Kluyveromyces lactis: one gene and its partners. The protein of the gene in region 2 interacts with the protein of the main gene of each other region in a pairwise test. Links are inferred from orthologs where the notes say so. Each region holds a gene or a part of one and is shown on either strand. Other genes may lie near its edges.

The links.
Region 1: the proteins of MYO1 (region 2) and SEC2 interact in a two-hybrid assay, tested with the Saccharomyces cerevisiae proteins (2 studies listed by BioGRID, with this or other methods). The link is inferred for Kluyveromyces lactis from reciprocal best matches to the Saccharomyces cerevisiae genes MYO1 and SEC2.
Region 3: the proteins of MYO1 (region 2) and MLC1 interact in binary tests that used the Saccharomyces cerevisiae proteins (3 or more experiments, as listed by UniProt). The link is inferred for Kluyveromyces lactis from reciprocal best matches to the Saccharomyces cerevisiae genes MYO1 and MLC1.

Annotation. Positions count from the first base shown.
Region 1 is NC_006039.1:193,660-197,736, reverse strand, and holds SEC2 (guanine nucleotide exchange factor SEC2), read left to right. Parts: upstream 1-1,493; coding exon 1,494-3,470; downstream 3,471-4,077. Other genes in the region: formin BNI1, read left to right, coding at 1-1,204; AVT2 (Avt2p), read left to right, coding at 3,733-4,077. UniProt on the Saccharomyces cerevisiae protein: Guanine nucleotide exchange factor for SEC4, catalyzing the dissociation of GDP from SEC4 and also potently promoting binding of GTP. Activation of SEC4 by SEC2 is needed for the directed transport of vesicles to sites of exocytosis.
Region 2 is NC_006041.1:1,021,563-1,025,884, forward strand, and holds the start of MYO1 (myosin 1), read right to left. Parts: upstream 2,957-4,322; coding exon 1-2,956. Other genes in the region: KLLA0_E11617g (F-box protein), read left to right, coding at 3,666-4,322. UniProt on the Saccharomyces cerevisiae protein: Required for cell division.
Region 3 is NC_006042.1:962,071-964,606, reverse strand, and holds MLC1 (Mlc1p), read left to right. Parts: upstream 1-1,495; coding exon 1,496-1,924; downstream 1,925-2,536. Other genes in the region: KLLA0_F10461g (uncharacterized protein), read right to left, coding at 1-577; ERT1 (Ert1p), read right to left, coding at 2,080-2,536. UniProt on the Saccharomyces cerevisiae protein: Essential light chain for the class II conventional myosin MYO1. Also acts as light chain for the class V unconventional myosin MYO2 and for IQG1.

The DNA of each region.
Region 1 (4,077 bases), on a different chromosome or scaffold from region 2:
TCTCAGACATGTTTTCGATGTTATTTTGGCAGTTGGTAATTATATGAATGATTCTTCAAAGCAAGCTCAGGGGTTCAAGCTAAGCACCCTACAAAGATTGACCTTCATTAAAGATGAAAAGAACAGTATGACTTTTTTGAACTATGTGGAAAAGATAATTCGTGAAAATTATCCCGAATACAGCCATTTCGTGGAAGAGCTTGAGCCTATTTTTAGCGTAACAAAAATATCCATCGAACAGTTGGTAACTGATTGTAAGGAATTTTCACAGTCAGTAATTAACGTTGAGCGTTCTATTGAAATTGGAAACCTAAGTGACCCTTCTAAATTCCATCCGTTAGATCGTGTTTTAAATAAGGTAGTACCGGTTTTACCTGAAGCTAGAAAGAAAGCTGATCTTCTAAGCGATGAAATCAAATTAAGTTTGCTGGAATTTGAAAATCTAATGAAGAAATTTGGCGAAGATGCCAACGACAAGTTCTCTAAAAACTCTTTCTTCCAAAAGTTTGCAGATTTCATTACCGAATTCAAGAAAGCTAAAACTCATAATGTCAAACTGGAAGAAGAAGAACGTGCTTACGAAAGGAGAAAGAAAATGATTGAAGATCAACAACGGAAACAACAGGAGGCAGATAGTAAGGCAACAGCAAAAAATTTAAGCACTTCGCAAGAACCGTCTGATGATAGGGACGATATAGAGAAGCTTTTGGATAAATTGAAAAATGCAGCTCCTTCAAAAGGAGATCCATCTAGTACTCGTAAACGTGCATTGGCTAGAAAGAAATTACTAGATGGTAAATCCGGGGCATCAATTTTTGATAACATCACTGCTGATAGTACTATCGAAGCTTTCGTGGAACAAAATAGAACGCTTACCGAATCGCCTACTGCTAAAAAATCGGCCAGCCTTCCTGAAACTGAAAGCTTGTCGTCATCAAAACAAGACCCTGCAGATAGAGCAAGGAATTTATTACTAGAATTAAGAGGCCCTGACGAAAGAAAAGACGCTTCTCCATCCCCAATCAAAGCAAAGGACAAGCTTAGGGATCTGAAAAAAAAAGATTCTTCTGTGAAAGTAGACCAACCTAATAAACTACAATTTGTTGGAAGCCTAGAAGTTGGACCTCATCCTAAACCGTTATCGCCAACCCAAGATTTGATGGACACATCGAACTCATCGGAAGATGAGTTTATTGATGCTTAAAGACTACATAATACTCATTTCAGCATTTATTTAATAACTACAATATGTGTATACTTGCATAGACATAATTCGTATACCGAAATTGACATTTTCATTTTAAAACCGGGTAATGAATTTAGTTCCAATGTTTGATGAAATCAAGAATGTAATATATATCAACCAAATTACCAGAGGACTAATGAAATACATAAATACTCGCCTGTGTAATTTACTTCAATAAATGAATCACTGATTTTGCTAACAGAAAGTACTTGCTACAAGCAAAGCTGACGGTAGCCTTATTTTTAGAATGGCGGATCAAGAAGAGTCAAAGCGCATATCTTTGCAAGTGACATCTTTATCTACGCAATTAATCGAAAGCATTGATAAACAATCCCAATTAGAAGAACAGTTACTAGTGGCTAAGAAAACCATTTCCACTCAGCAGAATATTGCGAACTCATATAATGAATTGAAGCAGGAACTACAATCTTTGAAATTACAATACGAAACCGATAAGACAAAATTCAAGAAACAGGAAGAAATTTGTGCTGATGCCGAAAAGAAAGTGGCTACATTGAACCAAGAAATTGAAGACTTAACCGCTTCTTTATTCGATGAGGCTAATAACATGGTAGCAGATGCAAGGAAAGAACAAAATGCTGTAGAAATATTAAACTCGAAGCTCAAAGAGCAGTTGAAAGAAAAGGATTTATTACTTGATACATTGTCAATGCAGTTAAAGAATCTCAAAAACGTACTCTACAAGTTCGAAAATGATTTCAATTCTTCGAAGAACGTTTCACTTTCAGATTCTGCGACGTCCTCTACCACATCAATTGATAGATCAACCACCAACCTAACCTCAGTAAATGATAATTCATTGTCGTTTCAAGGCGTGTTATTTTCCCCTCTTCTGCATTCGTTAAGGTATGACGTTCCTCTATACACAGAATATTTGAAATTTCTTGCTGTGCTACCACAATGCGAAAACCTTCAACAAACCACTTCGGAATCGAAACTATTAAGGAGATTAATAAACTATGAAATAAGTCCCGTCTTGCGACTTGATAATGCCTCCGGAGTAGGATGGCTTGTAAAAAGAAATTTAATGAATTTAATGATGGAAGGACTGGTATCAATCGAGCCGATTAGTGGAATAAATGAAACATATCGTACAGGATATAGTTCTCCAAGTATTCCCGACTCTCCAGAGGTCGAAAACAAAGATTCTCATTTGTTTAGCCGTCCGGTGAATTCTCCGCCTGTTGCTATGGTAGAACCATGTGCTTTCTGTGGTGAAAATAGAAACGACATCCTTGAACATGGAAGACTTTATATCTTCAAAACATATCAAAAGCTCGAAAATGGTAAAAATGAGTTAACAAATCAATTTCCCGTGTGCCATTACTGCTTGTTGAAATTAAGACAAGTTTGTGAAATTTTCGCATTTTTGAGATCATTGAGATCTGGTGCTTGGCATCTAGAAAAAGTAGCTTTGGCATCAATACATCAAGGCAAGGTCAATGCTTACTCCGAGGTAACTAAAGCATCAAGGCCGAAAATGAAATCCAAAAGATTAAGTATTTTCCAAGGATTAAAGCAATCGCAATCTTCAACTCCTATCATAGAAAATGGTCCACAATTTGCCGACAAAAACGGACTACCAACAACCAATATCCAGAGGTCATGGGCCCGTCTTTCACAACTACGAGCATCTTTACAATGGTCGCATATTGGCGTATGGTCTCTCGACGAATCGGTAGCTACAGATATTGCCCCATCAACAGATATTTCCAAAGCTAAAAGTTTTGAAGAAGAACAAGGTCTAGGCATTGCCTCAAACAATATCCCTGTCCCTATAACACATGAGGAGGATGAAACTTTCGATTTTGAAGCGGATACCGCAAACTCTATCAGTGTGGATGAAACAGTCAATGGTATACGTCACACAGATCAATCATCGGATGATATTGGCGATCATAATGAGAAAACTAATGAGAAGACTGCCACGGATTTACAAGGAAAGAATGAAGAGAAAAAAAGCAAAAAAATTGAACCACAGCATTCAAGACAGCCCTCACAATCATCCACAGTATTAAATGATAACAAAGAAAGTGCCGAATCAGCTCATGATACCCATGCATCATCTGAAGAGCCAAGTGATTTATTGGAAACTTATCAAGATCTGTCCGCTGATCTTGAACCCGAATCTGAAAAGCCTGAAAATTTGGATAATTCTGATGAAGAGGATAGTTTTAACGATGCAAAGGATGTCGTCAACTAGTGTCATGCACAATCTTTCCTCCTACCTTGCATACTTTGTAACAATAAATACCTGATGTAGAGAGTTTCATTTCAATGCACGTGATTTGTCAAATTTCGTCATCCTTATCATACCCAAAAGACTAAGCACCAAATTTATATATTGCAAGTATTTCTTCTTGCCTTAGATAAAACAATATGGCTGTAAGAAGGTTGTAGTAGCAAACGGAGCGCACGATAGTTGAACCGCTTATGGCCTACTTTGTGAATTATAATTAATACAGATGCAGATAGCCGCTGATAAAAAGTATGCAAAACTAGCTCTGTCTGATAAACAATCGAAGAATGAACCAAATCCGTTTGAACTGGAGTTAACGTCATTTGATGACACCGCGAAGACAGCTGACAGCGCAGTTGACCAAAACATTTTTAATGTTAATGAAGAAGACCCATTAACAGATGACATCTATTTATCTAATGAGGCAAAATCTAACAGGTACATGGCTTTCATGAACATGGCGAATAGTATTTTAGGATCAGGAGTGATAGGGCAACCTTTTGCGATGAAAAATTGCGGAATCATCGGCGGATTATTTGCGACCATATTAATGTCCATACTGGTTGATTGG
Region 2 (4,322 bases):
CTATTTCGGAATCGTTAACCTTGGCTTCCATGTCCTTCAAAGACATCGTCTTCTCTTGAATCTCTTTCTTCAAATCACTAATTTCCCTAATTAATTTATCTTTTTCGGAGTCTAAAGCACGCTCGTCATTCTTTACAACATCCAACTTATTCTTAAGTTCATTGACTGTAATCTCCAGCTTTTCTTTATCATGGGACAACTCTCTAAACTTATCTTCTGATAAATCGGAAGCATTTTTCGTCTTTTCTAATTCAAGGCGTAAATTATCAGCTTCTTTAGATAATTCGAGGTTTTCAGTTTCCAAAGAGTCTTTAATTGACAGAGTTTCATCCCATTTTTGTTGAATTTGAATTTGCTTTGTCTTGGTAGCCTCAAGAAGTTCTTGCGACTGTTGTAGTTCACTAGTTTCTTTTAACAATAATGCTTTAACTTTTTCTAACTCTTGTTCCACCAGCCTCTTTGCATCTACCATAACCGTCGTACTTTTTTCGCTCTCTGCTAGCTTGTTTTCGAGTTGTTTGACTTGTTCAGCTATTTTTTTAGTTTTCAAGATGGTATTCGAAGAGTCTAAAAGCGGTAGCAATTTCATGTATAAATTGTACCATGGATTTTCCATGAGCCTGTCATAGGTTTCAAAAGTTACCTTTAAGATCCTTGCAGCCTGTAATTTCTTAAGATGACTTCTGATTTCTTTCCTGACTGAATTAGCAGATATTATAGCATTTAACCTAGTAACAGCTGCACTCAAACGCTGTTCTTTCAGCAGTTCAAGGTTTGCTAATACACCAGCTTTGAAAAACAGCTTTGTGTTCCCGACCTTGTAAATTGTTGGATCCAGGTGAAGTGATGATAACAGTATTTCACAGTTCTTTTTGGAGTTGTTAGTGAATCTACACTCATCTGAAAGAATTTTGTATCTTTGGAAAAATTCCTTGAAGAATATTCTGTTGGGATAACCATCCCTAGCAATTCTTATTCCTTCAAGAACACCGTTACACCGTAATTGATCTAGAATAAGCTTCTTATCAAAATCACCTGCCTTTTTCTTGTTGTTTGGAATTATACAACGAACGAAATGGGGATCCGTATTGCCAAGCTGTTCAATGAGTGTATGGAGCTGTTCCCTATGTTTGTTAGATGATGTCCTAAAAGAACTGCCTCTAATGCGATCTGCGAAAAATTGTGATACCAGAGGGTTCGCACAATCATTGAGTACCTGCAATAAATTTTCATTTAAAGGATCTTTATTCTTTGATAGCCAATCAGTAACGTTGTATTCAACATCACCTGCATAATGCTTTAGTATAAAGCAGTTATCCAGCTTAGACCTTTTGAATTTAGTGGATTTATTATCCCAAGATGAAAGTAATTTCGAATAAAAAGAGGCATCTGAAGATTTTGGTAAGATCGATTCTTCTTCTAAAATCGGTAGTATACCTGGAATGCTGCTGTTTTTCTGTTCAATTAAATCAATTGTGGTTTGTAAGTCTTTGCCATAATCGATGAAATTCCATTGGATGTCTTCCTTTTGATATTCATTTTGTTCCAATACAAACATATGATGATTGAAAAACTGTTGTAATTTCTCATTTGTGTAATTGATACATAGTTGTTCGAAAGAATTATCTTTGAAAATTTCGAACCCAGCGATATCCAATAATCCAATAAAATATTCAGTCATCGATCCATGCTCTAAACTCTTGTTAATTTGATTTACAATATATTCGAAAAGCTTCTCATATAATGATCGGGATAAAGAGTTAAGAATTGACCTTGCCTGTGAGGCATTTTTGGCTTGTGATACCCATTCTTTACCAGCCTTTGATTTAGGTTTTAGAACAGCTGACTTGAAATCGTCTTCCTGAACTCCTAGAAGTTTACACAAGGGTTTGATATCATTTTTAATGCTGGCTTGTTCTGACCTCTCTGATACAAACTCAACGTTACCGATGTGCAATATGATAGAAATACATTTGAGAATGGATTGAATGTCATCCTTCGTAAATCCAACAGTTTCAAACGCGGATACAAGTTCCTGATAATTTTGACCATCGTCAATACCTGGAATTGATGGGTTGGAATGTCGTAGATACTGGTAATCAACGATGGAATTCGATTCTAATCCAATAGCCCGTAACTCTTGCTTCGACATGCCAGATAATATTTGATAAAAAATATGGTAGTTTCTTTCCCTGGCATGAGCTTGTATAACTCTTGATTTCTCCAATAGATACCATTCGATATGTGCTCCATTGATCTTACCATATTCGTCGAAATCGATCTTAATGAATTTACCAAAACGTGAGGAATTGTTATTGCGCACCGTTTGGGCGTTACCGAAGGATTCTAAAATTGGGTTTGATTGTAAGATTTTCCTTTCAAACGATTCGTTCGTCTGATTTAATAAAATCTTATCATCCGTCGTAATGGATGCCAAATATTGTAAGATTTTTTTTGTATTCTCTGTTTTACCAGCACCTGACTCACCGGTAACCAAGATCGATTGATCCTGCTTTTGATGCAAAAGATTCTGGTAAGCCTGTTCAGCGACAGCGAAGATATGCGGTTTATTATCCTCCTTCGGAGATCCATGGTATAATTTGATATAGCTGTTACTATATATCTTGATATTACTGTATGGGTTAATGGCCACTAAAAATAATCCTGAATAAGTGTAAATCAAATCATCTTGGTACCTGTTCTGTAAATTGAAAAGAACAGAAGCTTCATTAAGATGCGTCAATTCAGACAAGTCGTCCACTTTATCAAAGGTAGAAGGATTCACCGAGGCTACATCGTCTTCGGAAAACTCTGTTTCCTTACCATTCACACTAACCACAGCAACCGCTTGTTCCTGGCCTTGCTTATTCTTAACCACTTTCCGCTCTACCAATTGACCTTGAACAAAAACCTCTCGTTCATCAGATACCCATACTTTTTCCCTCTGTTGACTCATGTTTTCCTAACAGCCTCGTACCCAAATTGAGTTTACCTGTAATTTGGTCAATGAGGCTACGTTATTGGAACCAGAAGTCAATATCAATGCTCTTCAATTGAATTTATTCATGCAATTGAGACCGCTAGTGTTTGTTATTGATTCCAGTTGTTCTTGATGTTTATGTTTTTTTTTTGTTTACAAAACAATTAGAGATCAGAAAAGGGAATTGATACGTAAAGTAATTTGAGGTCACGTGGATTTTGTTTCATGAAGCCCATACACATGCTAAAAAGCTTATATGTGTAGTTGAACAGTATATACGTTGCTGTTTTTCATGCTTTTAGGTACTGGCCCTTGTTAATCCTGGGACAATGAATATAGTAGATGTGGCACGTCTGTGGCACGTCTGGGTCACTTAGTTATTCACTTTCCCGGTGTATTTTTCAACACCCATAATACGAATTAGGTTAAAATAGGTGAAAAATGTCAACTACTGAGAATTTATTCCTAGTCGTTATTGCACCTAGCCGTTCGAAAATAAGGTGTAGTCATCAATATAGTTTGTTGTTCGTTAGCATCATTGTATGTTTTTAGTGTTGTTGTGTGTTTCGCTTAGAGTTCCGTGTAGACGCAGGATTTTTCAGTTCTAAACGTCAATCAAGTATATGCTGGACATATATAAGATTGAAACTAGCTTGTGACAGTTAAAACGGTTCAACCTTTCAAGATGATGTTCGAAAGTACTGGTAACGATCGTGTTTCCTATGCGCACTTGAGCAGACGTGATATTATGGCACGTTATTTCAATCTTTCTGCACCAGTCGGCCATGCAGGTGTGCCGCTTCCGAAGCATGTGATTGCAAAACACGACGACAGCAATGTTGCAGATGATAATTACACCTCTGCTGTTAATAATACCACAAAGAATGATGAATTTATTCTTAGTGAAAAGATATTGAATTTACCCATTGAAATTAAGGTTAAAATTACCAATAATTTGAGCCAATATGACTTGGTGAATTTAGCATCGGTATCGAAATCTTTTTATGACGCGGCGATGTTTTCTTTGTACGAAAATATCGTGGTAGATACGTCATACTCTATATTGAACGATTCGTTGAGAACGGACAAGAATCAACGATGTACTTATATCAAGACGAAGTACAATTTAAAGAAGTTTATGAAATCGTTATCACAGGATGAAATACAAACTGCGTTCCCCTTAGGGATATTGGTAAAAAGTCTCAAAATATATTCTTTGCCCGATGGGGTCTCGAATATGGAAATTGTGAATTTCGTTCATAGATCCATCAATTCGTTGACGAGACTATCATGTTTGTATTGGGAAAGCGGGTCACGGAAATTGCCCTTGGACACATTACAA
Region 3 (2,536 bases), on a different chromosome or scaffold from region 2:
TTTCCTTGTGGAAAGATTGCGAATCATAATCTGGCTTCTTGTTCATGCTAGTCAACTGGGTTCTATTGACCTTCAAAGCAACATGCATGAGTTGAATAACCCTACTTGCACGATGGTTGTTTAAGTCTCCGGTGATGACTAACTCCCTGTAGATATTCATACTACTACTGACCGAATCCCAAAACAATGAAGATTGATCTAGGAATTTACCATCGGGGGCACGAGAGGAAGATGCTTCCAAACCTCTGGCCAAACAGTCATCCAAGGCATTAAGTTTAGAGAAAGCTGGAGAATTAGGAGAGTTTTTGAAATTATCGAATTTTATGTTTCTTCTTAGGTTGCGGACCTTTTTAACGTTACGTTCAATGATTTCATTATTTTCATACTTCTTCTTAGAGTTTCTCTTATCCGAAGACGACTTGGCTGGTGCTGCAGTTGTTGGATCCTGTTGAGGATTACGCTCTAGTGCGACAGCGCTGTTGAAACGGAACTGGGAATTTAAAGAATTTCTGGACGCAGAAACGAACTGATTTGGGACCCTACTCTTTAGGGTCTGTTGTTGGACAAGTCTAAACATGGTTTTAGACAATGGCAAAGAAGATGTTCTTTTTAACCGGAAAAAACACTAATAACGAACAGTTGATTAGCTCTGTGTATAATAATCAAAAGAATTTGTTAGTAATATGAACCAAAGACTTTTTTTATAGGTAAAAGTCTAAAATCTTGAATAGTGTTAGAGTTTAGGGAATATATATATATCCATCGCCTCTGAGGGAAACCCGAACCTATTGTAATCGGACATAGTAGTCACACATACCTTTTTTTTTACTGATGAACGAAGGAACACAATATAATGTTCAGAGTTTAAACGGTATACTGATCTGTGATATAGTACTGAGCTATAACAAAAGAAAACACAACAATGAAAATTATGTCTTAGTTAACAAAAGTGATACGACACTGAACGATAAAAAACTGTTATTGAGTATGTTAATAATCGCTTTTGTTATATAGGTCATATCAAAAAAGAAGCTTGAACACTTTTCATCGCTCGACAAGAAGACAAAAGAAAAAGTGTCATCAGATGTCAGGAACATTGGATGCTGAGGAAAAGAAACTGAACGAGGGAAGGTTGGAAATTTTCGAAATGCGATGTTGAATTGTGCGGGTAACAATATATTTGACTCACGTGATGGGTATTTAAAATCCGGGTAAATGATATCTGACTGAGTTTTAGGTCGTCCAAAAAAAGAGCTTTTGAGGCCCCAGAAACAATAATTTGTTTTCCATTTTGAAAAACGTAAACAATAAGAGTATCTTTACATTTGATATATTTACTGGAGGAAGGCATGCATTGTTCTACACATTCGAATAGATTTATATTTACCTTGGAGCTTTAAATAGTATCTACTTCTTGCTAGGCTAAGTGATACTGAATCGTGATTTAATTACGCAGTACTGTATTATTCATTGAAGAAGTGGGAAATCAATCATCATGTCCAGAATCAACAAAGATATTTTTACGCTATTTGACAAGCAAGCCAAGGGATCCATCAGTAAGGCCCAAGTTGGTGATTATTTGAGAGCAATTGGATACAATCCTACCAATGCGCTAGTGGAGGAAGTTGTCGCTTCTTCAGGTGACGAGTTGACCTTAGGTGATCTAGAAAAATTAGTTAAGGATAACGAAGAGAAGTTGGAGCAAACTACTCAAGGTAAAGTAGAGGATTTCATCAAAGCCTTTCAAGTTTTTGACAAGGATAATACTGGCAAGGTATCACCAGGTGATATTCGTTACCTATTGACCGGTCTAGGGGAAAGGTTAACTGACGAGGAAGTTGATGAATTGATGAAGGGGATCGAAATCGACTCTGACGGATTGATCGACTACAAGAAATTTGTTGAAGATGTATTGAGACAATAAGAGAGAGGATGTAATGCAACTCAAGATTACATGCATTAGTTAGTATAATACAAATATATATATAAATATAAATACCCAATCTCACACGCCAGGAGCTTTGCTCTTTTGTTCTATTCTAAGCAGTCCGATACTATTGACTTGTGACAGTTCTAGATTCAAAACCCAACGTCTTCTGGTAGGGTGAGAATTGGCATGAAGTTCCCTATTATCATCATAGGTAAACCAAAGGCGTCTCTTTTTAGCGTCCATAGACAACAACATTTAATAACGCTTCCCTTGATCGGGGTTAATAGATTACAAATTCGCATAGTTTCAGCACCTCTGAACCCCTGATATGCAACCCTAGTGAACGTTTGGAAGTACTCCATTACCGTATCACCATCCATCAATTCGACTATGAAGGTCATTTTGTTGAGTAGTTCTAGACGATTCCAGCCAGTCAATAGAGAAAACTCGTCATTCACATAACTGATCTGTCCGTTACGTCTCCATACACAAGTTGGGGTACCAACCTGAGAGATGAATTTCTCATACTCTAATAAAGTTCTCTGATGGCTCTTTTCCATAAATATCATATCTTCATCGGTGAGGTCGATAGTACTGGCAATGAAA